Drosophila melanogaster: one gene and its partners. The protein of the gene in region 1 interacts with the protein of each later gene in a pairwise test. Each region holds a gene or a part of one and is shown in the gene's direction. Other genes may lie near its edges.

What was found.
Region 2: the proteins of Trs33 (region 1) and CG43325 interact in a two-hybrid assay, tested with the Drosophila melanogaster proteins (2 studies listed by BioGRID).
Region 3: the proteins of Trs33 (region 1) and CG5160 interact in a two-hybrid assay, tested with the Drosophila melanogaster proteins (2 studies listed by BioGRID).

The regions. Positions count from the first base shown.
Region 1 is NT_033777.3:15,349,780-15,352,686, reverse strand, and holds Trs33 (TRAPP subunit 33), read left to right. Parts: upstream 1-1,691; 5' UTR 1,692-1,766; coding exon 1,767-1,835; intron 1,836-1,903; coding exon 1,904-2,293; 3' UTR 2,294-2,342; downstream 2,343-2,907. Other genes in the region: Tmtc4 (transmembrane O-mannosyltransferase targeting cadherins 4), read right to left, coding at 1-1,336; CG42727 (uncharacterized protein), read right to left, coding at 2,349-2,907.
Region 2 is NT_033778.4:22,654,903-22,658,922, reverse strand, and holds CG43325 (uncharacterized protein), read left to right. Parts: upstream 1-1,924; 5' UTR 1,925-1,944; coding exon 1,945-2,306; intron 2,307-2,426; exon of another isoform or gene 2,427-2,458; coding exon 2,459-2,570; 3' UTR 2,571-2,849; coding exon of another isoform or gene 2,850-3,100; exon of another isoform or gene 3,101-3,169; coding exon of another isoform or gene 3,170-3,290; 3' UTR 3,291-3,374; downstream 3,375-4,020. Other genes in the region: CG13510 (uncharacterized protein), read right to left, coding at 648-934; CG43326 (uncharacterized protein), read left to right, coding at 2,850-3,100, 3,170-3,290; CG30196 (uncharacterized protein), read left to right, coding at 3,553-3,749, 3,842-4,020.
Region 3 is NT_033779.5:7,395,746-7,400,811, reverse strand, and holds the start of CG5160 (uncharacterized protein), read left to right. Parts: upstream 1-2,061; 5' UTR 2,062-2,574; intron 2,575-5,066.

The DNA.
Region 1 (2,907 bases):
CCTTGGCATTGTCAGGACACACCTGTAGCGCGGACTTGAACAACTGCTCCTCGTTAAGCCAGTCAGTAGCTCGCTGCCGAGTCCGTACCATCATAACCGAAAAGAGCAGCATTAAAAGAATCCGTAGAGCAGTGCGCCAGTGGGTGTTTTCCGTACTGCTGTCATACCAATATAAGAATCCATAGATGGACAGCAGGCAAAAGCCAATGGAGGGTACATAGAGCGTCCGTTCGGCAATCACGAATCCTACGCAAATGATTCCCGACGCGGGCAGGAACGGGACGATCATTAAACCCAGAGCTAACATCATTCCGGGCAGCCGTCGGAAGTTCATCAGAGCCACCAATACGATGGAGTAGAATCCGATGACGCCCTGCAGTCTCAGATCCCAGATGTTGGTCACCAACTTGACGCAACCCAATGCCCAGTCGTAGCATAGCCAGTGGGGGCACAGCATCAGCCAGATGTTCATGACCAGCAGATACTGCTGGGAGAGCCCACGGGTCAGCACGTGCTCATTGTGCGCAACGGGGTTGTCAACTTCCTTGAAGGTAGGCGTCTCAAAGTCCTGCCACCAAAGGCGAGCCGTCAGCAGACCCAAGGTACCCAGCAAGTAGAACAAGTAGCTGATCCGGGTGCGCAAAAGACTCCACTGATCCTTGAATCGCAGATGATAGTAGCCGTTTTGAAAGTAATCCAATAGTACACACGACATGGGGATGGTCACAGCGGACTCCTTGAACAGCATTCCCACAGCGGTGAGCAGCATGATTAGACCGCCAGTCTGTGGACCAAGTCTTCCGGTATTGGCCACGGTCAGCAGAAGACACAACAAGTGAATCATGCCGAACATGAGCTCGGCCCTTCCAACCACACCAGAAACCGCCTCTGTGTGAATTGGATGGGCGGCAAATAGAGCAGCGGAGAGGATGGCCCATCTTGCCGTGCTGACCTCCGGAACATAGAGAGAGCGAATCAATCGCCACATGAGCAGCGTGTTGACGCAGTGTAGCAGGAGGTTTAGGAACTTCATGTGGGCGGCACTTAGCCCCAGAAGGGCATACTCGCAATGGAACATCAGGGTGGTCAGTGGCCGAAATGATTTGTGGGAATCGGAACTGAGCAAGGAAGCACCCCAGAAGTCGTGCGTGAAGATCGCCGTCCAGTTGGTGGGCAGTGAGTTGACATCCCGGTTCTTGACGATGGCCACCGTATCATCGAAGACAAACTTCGCTCCACTGAGGCCACCGCATCCGTAGCATAGCAAACAGATTAACACTAGGATTGCCTGACAGACCATGCTATGCAGCGTGGCTTTGTGAACGAGGTCTAGCATACTGGATTATTTACTAATTGTCAATTGTTCAAGTTTAATTCACTTATTCTGCGAATTTTAATCGGAATTGTTTTGTATACATTTTTTGTTGTGTTTTTGTCCAAACACCCCCTCACTGAATAGTGATGCCAGATCAGCGATAGAAATGTGTGCAGCTTAGCTAAATATATGCATCGAAAAATATATGGTTATAAAATGATTTGAAATTACGCTAAATAGATCTATCAAATCTGCTCATTTTAGAGTATTCATATTAAAATAATTATACATACTCTTGATATTAAAGTATAAATAATAGTAATAACAATAAACCACTAAAAGCAAACAAGACATTCGCCCGTTAACGCTTGCAACAGCTGTTTAAATCTAGATCAAAACAAATCCGAGGAAAAATTTGTTGAACTCACAAAGAAAAATTAAATCCTCGAAAATGTCTGAAGAAATCCTTTTCGATTGCCTCCATGCAGAGATAGTCAATTATTGTCTGGATAGCAATAAGGTAGGAACACGAGGGACGCAAAAAAAAATCAGTCATACAACCGATTTTGATTTGGTTCCGCCTATTAGGAGCACGACCTGGCCACTTTGGAGTATATAGGCTTCACCACCGGCTACCGCCTGATTGAGCGGCTCACCCGTGAAGTTTCGCGTTTTAAGGACGAGTTGGAGACTATGAAGTTTATATGCACCGACTTCTGGATGCTTATATACAAGAAGCAAGTGGACAACCTGAGGACGAACAACCACGGAATGTACGTTGTGCAGGACAAGGCTTTCCGCTTTCTGACTCGCATCTCGCCGGGCACCAAGCAGCTGGAGCACGCGCCCAAGTTCGTGGCCTTCACGTGCGGGCTGGTGCGAGGAGCTCTCAGCAATCTAGGCATTAACAGCACCGTGACGGCCGAAGTGCAAAGCATACCCGCCTGCAAGTTTCACATAGAAGTGAACAGGAACTAATTAGGATGTAAGGCAATGGTTTATTACTACAATTATAGAGATACTACAGACTAGACTAGGCTATCTTTTCGTAGAATGCCACAATGTTGTGGTCAGTCCAGTTAAGGCGTTCTCGCAGGATCCACTGGTCGATGGGCAGTTGGGGCTGGGCGGGATTGGGATCTGTGTGGATTCCCAGGGCGGGCAATGGTCCAATCAATATAAGCCACTTTCCTTGATACACATTTAGATAGTCCAGAAAAGCTCCTCGATTGTTGAAGTAGCAGAAGAGCAAGGCACACGGATGAACGTCACTGCAGCATTTGGTCAATAAATCCGTATCCAGTTGGCTGGCATCCTCTAAATAGTTAAGCGGTATAAAACTTCGAACGGAGTACTTGCTCTGCCACCAGTTGCGATCGACCTCCAAGCCAAACATGGGGACTTTCCGACCTCCAGACACTGTCATAAGCCATTCCAAAAGCCCACTGCCGCAGCCGATGCTCAAAACTCGCTGGATGTCGTGCATGGCTAGCAGCTGATTAAAGTAGTCCAAGTCCACCGATGTCGGCCACATCCAGAGCAGCTTGCGCTTGAGCTGTTGGTCCAGGCAGTCGCCCAGGACAAGCAACTTG
Region 2 (4,020 bases), on another chromosome or scaffold:
CTGTGTGGATAGAGTGGAAAACGAATCGATTAGATAAGTTCGGGGAATTAAACTATTAGTCAGAGCACTAATTCCGAATTGGCCTTTACGACGTCTACAGGCCGTAATCAGTCAGTTTGCTTGCTTTCACCCCGTCTTTCCACTCGGATTCGTTATCTGACTCAACTCCAGTTCCAGTTGAGATAACAATGTTTTCACATATTACCAGTACACACAGTCGCAATACCTGTAGAAACCTATTGTTTTTTCCAAGCGATAAGGGGCCGCAAGTGGTTCATGGGCGTAGCTTTTTAACATTTAACCGAGCTATTGTAACGAGTTGGCAATAAAATGGTTATAGAACATTTCTGCTTGGGCGATACGAAAACATATCTAGATTGTTAGGATATCATCTATAGGATATCATATCATCTATGTATATTACTGAATTTAATAGGCAACATATCCGATTTGTATTGCTTTTAAAAATGGTTTACTCCATTTTGCGCAATTTTATAAAAAGGTCATTTGACTGGATTAATGAAGCACTAAGTCCCCCCTAAGATACTTTCGTTGGCCCAAAGCTCCTGAGACCAATCAACATACATACATACATATGGTGGCAAGCAGTGACTTCAGATCAGATGACTAGTGACTATAAGACTCACATGAACAGGCACAGGATGAGGGCCCAGCAGTGCGTCCTGCCGGAAGGAGTGGACTTCACGGTGGTCAGTACTTCGGCGTGACAGGAGGGACAGCGGATGCGGGTGGGTCCACTGCCGATGGGCACCAGGTTGGAGGTTGTGGTGGTCTGGATGATCACCGTTGAGGACTGCGGTGGCTGCGGCATCGGTGGGTACAGTGGTGGCTGGGTGGGGCCACCGGGCTGATAGGTTTGTGCGGGAGTGTATCCGGACTGTTCACTGTACGGTGGAGGCTGCTTGCTGTCCATAGTTTCGGATTATGTTTCTTCTTGATGCAGACTCTGGATTTCCGGCCGAACTGAACCGATCGCTTTGCTGGCTGGCGTTGCACTGAGGAACGAACTTAAACTGTGGCTCCCGCAATACCTCAACGATTGGCTACTATCTTATCGTCGAGAGGTGATAGCTACCATACAAGTGGGGTTTCTGTCGAACTAATAATCGGATACCTCTTTTATTGTGCACTTGATTTAGTGAGCTACAGCGATGCTTCTCCTCCGAATAGGCGACAGATGAGTCACTTGTTTGATAACACCTTTATTGCATATAAAGGCAATGAATAAGGCCAAAATATACATATGTAACATTTAGTACGTGTATTTTGCGAGGAGAGAGTATAAACAAACACAGGTTGTCGACTCGAGTGCTCTCGCCATAATATAATATTTTTGTAATTTACCAAATGCGTGACCGGTTTATATATATGTACATATGTAGATATGATTCTTTGCCAGTTGAAGCATCATCATTCCATTTGTGAAGCCTTTATTTTTTTTAATTATTTATTGGATATTGGATATTAATGTGTAACTTGCTTAATTTGTGATTAAAAATAATATATATATTTTCCGTGCTTGATACTATTTCCTGAAAAACCTTATGAAATGTCTTAATTATTCAAGTCAAAATAAAAACAGACTTCGATCTTCAATGGGTTAAGATAACTGTGTATATTTTTTATAGAAAAAGCTCCATTTACCACCCACTCGCCGGCAGCTTTGTGGAAGCTTTCCTCATGGGATCTACGTTCAAGTGCAGCCGTTAACATCGCAACCATGAAAATAGTGTTAGGCAAATACGGGGGCTTGACAAACAGATGAACAACTGGTTTGTCTAACTCCCCCCTCAGCCCAAAAAATATAATAATAAATCCCCCTCGCCAAGCGATAGCTGTTTGACTTATGTTTCTTATGTTTCAATTGTAAAATAACCCAATTTATAGGCAAATAGAAAACCCGAGTCGAGTCAGTTCAACAACATGAGCCGTCAGCTAAAGTTCCACCTTCAAGCTCCCGACGACGAGGAGTTCGCAGCGGATCTGGTGGAGATTAACCTGAACCCCAACTGCGGCCAGGTCAAGCAGAAGTCGGCTCAGGCCTTGGACCAGCTGCTCCTGGCCACGCCCCCACACAGAGGCTATCCCTACGGCTATGCCGAGGACTCCGAGCCGGATACCTACTTCTGCCGGAAGAGCAACTCCACAGGCCAACTGGCCGAGAAGGTATCACCTCCGCCGCCCGCTGCCACCAACATTAGTTGCCTCCGCCAGATGTACTGTCCGGAGTGCCACGAGCGATTGCACGAGCAGGGAGTCCGCCTGGAGCGACTCCTTACCATGTGGTGAGTGCAAGGCCAGGACATTTCTTTAAAGTAAATTCTTAGGATGGAATATAAATAAGATTATTTAATCGTAGTATAGGGCTATTAGGATAATAACAAAGATCGGAAGTATTTATATTTCTAATTCAGATTATTTCCTTATCCATTTCCAGCTGCTTTGCCCTGCTGCCCATCTATCCCTGCTGCCCGAGGCGCTCCACCAACGATTGCAAGGTCATCTGCGGCAAGTGTGGTTACCTCTTGGGGGCATGGAAAAGACAGTGAGATGAAGGGATGGGGGTCGTGGGTTGGGGCAAACGGAGTGGGTGCTCCGCTTATAATTGTTTGTTTTGTTTAGTTTTTAAGCACTTTTTGTTGACCTTGCGGCGAGTGATGAGCGCTGCTGAGACTGAAGAGCCGAGTGCCAAAAAATTGTTGATTGCTGCATGATTCTCTCAGTGGTTTCTCTTCAATTAGATCTCTTTGGTCAGATAGATCTCTTTTTCGAATTTCACTGCCTCGGGATTCGCCAAAATGTTTAGCACTTGACGCCGGCCAGTCGCAATGTCTCGGGGAAACGACTTGGATGCGGATCTGGAGGTGGATCTCCAGGAGGGGGACAGGGATAGCCAGTCGGCGGCCACCACTGTCACGCTGGAGGAGCGCCCTAGCAAACCCCAGGTGCGATTCTTCAGCATCGGACCCAGCAGCTACCAGGTGCGGTGTCCATTGTGCCAGCAGAATTCGAAAACGGAAACCGTGGAGATGACAGGAGCACTGGGCCAGCTCAGTTGCCTCTTGTCCACTTTATCCTGGTAGGAAACTTCGGAATTCGGAAAGGAATCTAAGTCCATGGATTAACATTCGTTTAAATCTCCTTTCAGTTGCTTTCCCATCTTTGCTTTGACGTTCGTCTATTCCTGTCTGCAAAGTCGCCTGAAATCGAAGCGTGTCTTCTGCAGCCGATGCGGTGGTCACCTGGGCTTCCACTGGCGTCCCACTTAGTGCGTCTGCCACTCAGATGGCTCTCTGAAATCCACGCAAATGATCTATAAATAAACCGGCAGCTGTTGTCAAATTTTTTTTAATAAGTTACTTGAATTTATTCGATCATCACTCAGGCGGTGCCTCCAAAAAGTATGTATTCATCTCTCCCACTCTCTGGCACGCTCTTAGATATTTTGATTGCGATGTGGGCTCCAATGCAGATACAGATACATTATGCGAACGTTCTTGGTTCATCGGTCAGTTGCTCTATCGCTTCGAAATGGCCAGCACCGAGAGTCTGGATGGCAGTGCCTTCGAGGGGGACATCTCATCCATTCCGCAAGTGGGCCATCTGACCACTGAGCCCCAGGAGTTGGAGTGTCCAGCCTGCCAGCAGTTGCAGACTACCCACGTGAAATCGGAGGCAGTGACCGTTCTGCAGAAGATTGCCTGCTCGCTGAATGTGCTTCTCTGCTGGTGCGTTAAGTTTTGAAAAGAAGATGAATTTCTTTATTGGTTGTGACAGTTTGATCCGAGCCCCAATACCTAATCTGTCCTTTATCCTCTAGTAATCCCATTCGCTGGAAGGGCCGTCATGATGTCAATCACTACTGCAGCTCATGTGGCTGTTTCATTGGACGCGATATCACTCTGAGTTGGTACAAGAGGACCCTCTTTCGGCTGCAACGGGGAGAGGTGGAGGATAACGGACGCTGGCAGAGATTCCGCAAGGTGGAGAAGGAGCAGC
Region 3 (5,066 bases), on another chromosome or scaffold:
GAAAATAGGTAGGGGTGTTGTTTTTCACACCTTTGCGTCCTTAACCCGTAAACAACAAGAATTCAAAGTGACAGGTAGGCTTGACATGCGGATGGGGTTGAAAGGTCGGGGGGCAAAGGCTTAGGTTGGACACATAAATCAGCCGAAAATCAGGGTGGTTTGGGTCAAAGGGCGTGGGCCTTGGAGCCCAGGGCAGTCGAGCGTATGGCGTTTACGTTGGTCAAAATTAATGCTCAGCTCGACTGGCTAAATTCAACCTGTTGCCTCTGTCAGAAGCAATTAGTGGACGTGCCACAAGGCGTTTCGATGTCAACAGGTTGCCACATCTCACACCCTGCATATGCACACCGATAGAAGGGGGGTTTAGGACTCTATCTACTTGTATGGTTGGAGGTTTCTCCACTTGGCGAGGCGTGTAAACATTTTCCGCACCGCGCGTGTGTGTGGGCGTTGTGTTTGGCCTAGCATTAGGGCATGGTCTATTGCCAATTACATGGAAAATGTTTGTTTTCTGTTTGTTTGGTTTCTCGCTTATAATGTTAAGTGAAGGTCAGCTGGCCAGAAACCGAAATTCAATTGCCTCCTGTGGAGGGAGAATGTTTGTAGCGGGAGTGTGGCTACAGGAATAGGCCTACATCATTCGTTGGCAACATTGTTGCCAAGGTTGAGAGAAATTTTGGGACAAGTTTACGTATGCAAATCATTTTTAATCTGAATTGTTTACATAGAGTGCATATATATACTATGTAATTATAGTATTCTGCCTGATAACATAGTTCATTTAATTGTTGTATTATTTTATATTTGAATAGTTTAAAAGGTTGCAATTAATCATCCATTTTATGGTAGATAGCTAGATCGTTTCCGTTGTCCTTCGTTTCCTCGATAGCTTTGCAGCATGGATCTGCGCTCTAGTTTGGATAAGATGTTCCGCATTGCTGTTAGTTTGACTTCCGTACTGTTCATTATCGCTTGCAGCTGACTTCCTAGGACTGCCTGATTGCCTTCAATCCTGTCCAGTCTTTCCGCGAGATCCTCTGAAACAGTGTGCGTCATATTTGACAAATGGAAAATGAACTGGGTTCCGGAAAGTATCTCATTCGCCGCCAACTCAATGCGCTGTAGTTTTTCCTGCGTTTCGTTTAGTTTCACATCGCAGCTGCCCCAATCCTTTAGATCCTTTCTAAGGTGATCGATAACTGGCTGTAGTGCGGATACACAGAAGGCGCTGCACTGACTCGGAGGATCGGATAATGGACATGATGCATTACTCTGGGCTCCAGTCGGAAATCCTAGAAGTTCCAGGACCATAAATGCGCACAACAAGATTCTTATCGGTTTGAGCATGGTGTACAACCACTTGGGATGAACTTTTTGAAAAGACTGATACTGAAATAGTTGCATGAATTCTAAATAACCCTGTAACATTTTTGATAAGCATATTTGATCATCATATATCTATATTTTCCGAGAAACTTTATATAAAAAATGTTTGCTATCTTTATTAAGCTTTAGCCATGCTTAAATTCAATGCATTTTGAATGCTTTTTTTGGCGTTGCCAGAAGTAGAAAATCAAAATGCACTGGAGAGTATCCGAGGATTTTTAAAGGATATCACAGTTCTATGAAATAAAATCAAAGCTACATGTAAGTAAACATTTATTGATGCGTAAGATAAAAATACATTTTTGCCAAAAAAAAAAAACGCAGTTAAAATGAATTGGCTGTGCTTCGATTTATTTTTATCATCCGGTTTGCAAATAATTGCGTCTTCGACACATCCGGATTCAAATTGGCTCTTTGAAACTTCCGGTCGAAGTAGATGGTGAATGCTGCAAAAAGAAAGAGCAATGAAAATTGAAAAAACTTTTAAATGCTCATTTCTTACTTAATTATTAAAATCATCCATTACCATTAAGTTTTTACATTTACTTGTAATTTATATTTGTTAGCAACATGGCTGCTGGCAACATTTGTGTCTGGCAACACAGCATGTTGCTGGCAACACTTTTGTGTTTGGCGCGCTTTCGTTGATTTCATTCAAGCAACGGCAGCGCAGCAGATGCGACGCGTCGCGGTCGCAGAGGAAAAACTTCGGTCGAGAATTGTGCCGCATATTGGGGATACCGGTTTGGAGTCGCGTGTCGGTGGGTGGACGTGGATATTGGATGTAGTGGACCTCCTTTGCGAACTCTTTTGCATTTTACATTTGTCCACATATCGTCAGCACTTTGACGACACCGCTGCAAAGGTGGCAAGGCGGCGGAAAAGTGGGTGGTGTTTTATATTATTGCCTCACAATGGCAACGCATCGGTCGGCACTGCGTCGCAATAAAGCCACTTCGATGGCATCGGCGGCGGTACTAGTTGGATATATAAAAGCATAATTGCTGCGAGCCAGCGGCTTAATAGCAAACAGGAAGCTGAAGTGTCAACAACTCGCCAAAAAAATAAATCAAAAAATATTAAATTTAAAGCAGCGCGACTCGTGAAACTATTGTAATTCGAATACAAAATGAAAATCTAGCAAAACAATACAGTTTTGCGGAAAACATAAACTTGTTTCGCCCAACGGTGCGTATACTTAATTATTGTTACAACTAAATAAAAATACCAAATTTATGGCAATCAAAACGATGAGAACTTTGTTTCAAAAATGTTCCATACAGAGCATTTCAAAAATACACAATAAATTAAATCAAAAGTAAAATATTTCTGCTTGTTTCTAGTTCTTGTTCGATTTGTAAACATTTATGTCTGCCTCAGAGGCGCCGAAAAGGGCGTTATTGGGGGCGTTTTTTCTAACAATATTTTTGCTCAAATTGTTATATGAAACTAAAGCCAACTGAATTTATGTGCTAAACGATGAGAATGCCTGTTTATTTGAAAGCCCCTTTGATTCCGCCTATGCTCGATTATTTTTGCTGCTCCAGTCGACCTTGACTTGAGACTCGAAATTAGCGATAACTTTTCACCTGATGGCTTTCTGAACATGTATATTTCTCGATTCTCTTGATTTGTAAATCATTTTAATTGGCTTTGATTGCTGCTACTTCCGCCAAAAAAAAGAGTCTTGTGCAAAACTGTTTGACTTTGAAATGGTTTCAGAAATAAAACAAATTGCGGTGCGCCTCTCCATCTTGGCATGTCTGTTTTTGATTTGCTTGTTTGATATGTTTTAAATTTGGCGGCAAGGTCGCCAGCTTGTCTGTGCAAAAGTGAAATGCAAATTCTGTTCTATTCGACCACGTCCACCATGCGTTATCTGAAATCTCATTTGGGCGTTTGGGTCAGGAAAAGGTGTTTACGGCGCAACAAGATTTATTATATCAACAAAACATAATCAGGGGCCTTAGCACCTTGCCCCGCTAACTGCCACATCTACCATACCCACAAGCTGACTAGTTAATAGCGCCCAATATCTGCCCCTGCACCTTACTTTGTGGCGCGGGGCATAAAGCCACAAACAAAAGCGTTTTATTGCCAGAAGACCGCAGACTCGAGCGGAGACAGTAGCAAACGATGACAAACGCCATAGCCACAGAATAATATAATCGAAAAATTATTATACGGTAGATCGAGCTATCAGGTACCCTATGTCATCAAGTGAAATGATTATTTGGAATCACTTCTAAATCTATAAAAAGTTATGAGATACACAGAGATATTATGAGATATATTTATAGAAAATCGTTCGTGAAGTCTTGCAAGAAGCCATTTCGTTCACAAAACCAATAGAGCCCTCTACATCTAGGGTATCGAATGTAATTCATCGTTCCGAACAACTGGCACAATGAGTGGGTACGACAAGTGCATGGGAATTTTATGAGGATGGGGATCATAAAGACCAGAAAGCTGGAATCAAGTTAAGGGCTGGGTTGGGATATAGAGGGTTAGGGGATGGGTTATAACATGTTATGGGGGGCTCTCTGAGTTATTGATATTTTGCATCTCAGCCTACGACAAGTGGCAAATGTGTGGCAAGGAATGTCTGAGACTAAAGAGACTTTTTCAATTTGTGGGTCCTCCGTTCGTCCTCATAAATTCCATTGATATTTATGAGGAAACCGAATTTATATTGAAATGGAAATAAGCAGATAAAAGACTGCCATATTTGATATTAATGCTGTGCGATGGATGATACTTTGAATACTTTGGATACTTTAATACAAGAAGAGCAATTAATTTCTTAAAATTTATCCTGGTTTGCTCATTAAATTGCGATTAAAGTTTTAGCTCGTTTTAAAACTCTTCCTCGCTTAACCATCATCTCATATATCAAACGGCCTTAAACAGTTTAGTATTTGTCCTTCATCCCATTTCCTTGTAATCCTTTCACCCTTTTCAACTTGTTGGTTTGCCCCTTTTTCCCGGTAAAAACAAACCATGTCTATGTTTATTTAAGTGGTGCTTAGTCAGCAAAAAATCACCCGTATGAGCCTAACTAAAATAACATTTATGACGCTTGACTTGTATTATTTATGGGACTGATTTACCAATGTCTGCGACTATGGTTCCCTAACAATGGAAAGAAATGAATTTCTTTGCGTAGATTTATTTTTATATACATTTAAGCTCCACTCAAGGTGAATACTTATGTGTGGAAGTTGACCGCCAACTTCGACAATTTTACGCATTTTCAATTTCAGGGACGCGCAGCAAAACAAACTGACTGACTGAGTGAGAGAAAAACCAATGGCAACATTCGCTGTTATTGCACAGTGAAAGAAAATCTCACAACAAAGTCAGTTGATTAAAAAATTATAAATAATAAATAATTACATTTGTATTTACTTTCAAATAAATATCATTTGAAAACACACATTTTAAAACGAAAGTTGGTATAAGAAATGGCTAAAAACTTATGATGAATTATTAATTTTCGATCTTGGTCAATAATATTTCTTCGTGTGCACATTTCGTTAATGTTAACTGGCTGCTCGATACCGAAATGAAATGACAAGCAAAAAAACACGGAAAAAGTGGTCAGGGCAGGGGCATCGAGACTGCGTGGAGTGGGCAACTCCAGTCATCGACAATGGGTCGGATGGCAAGTGGCGCACTTC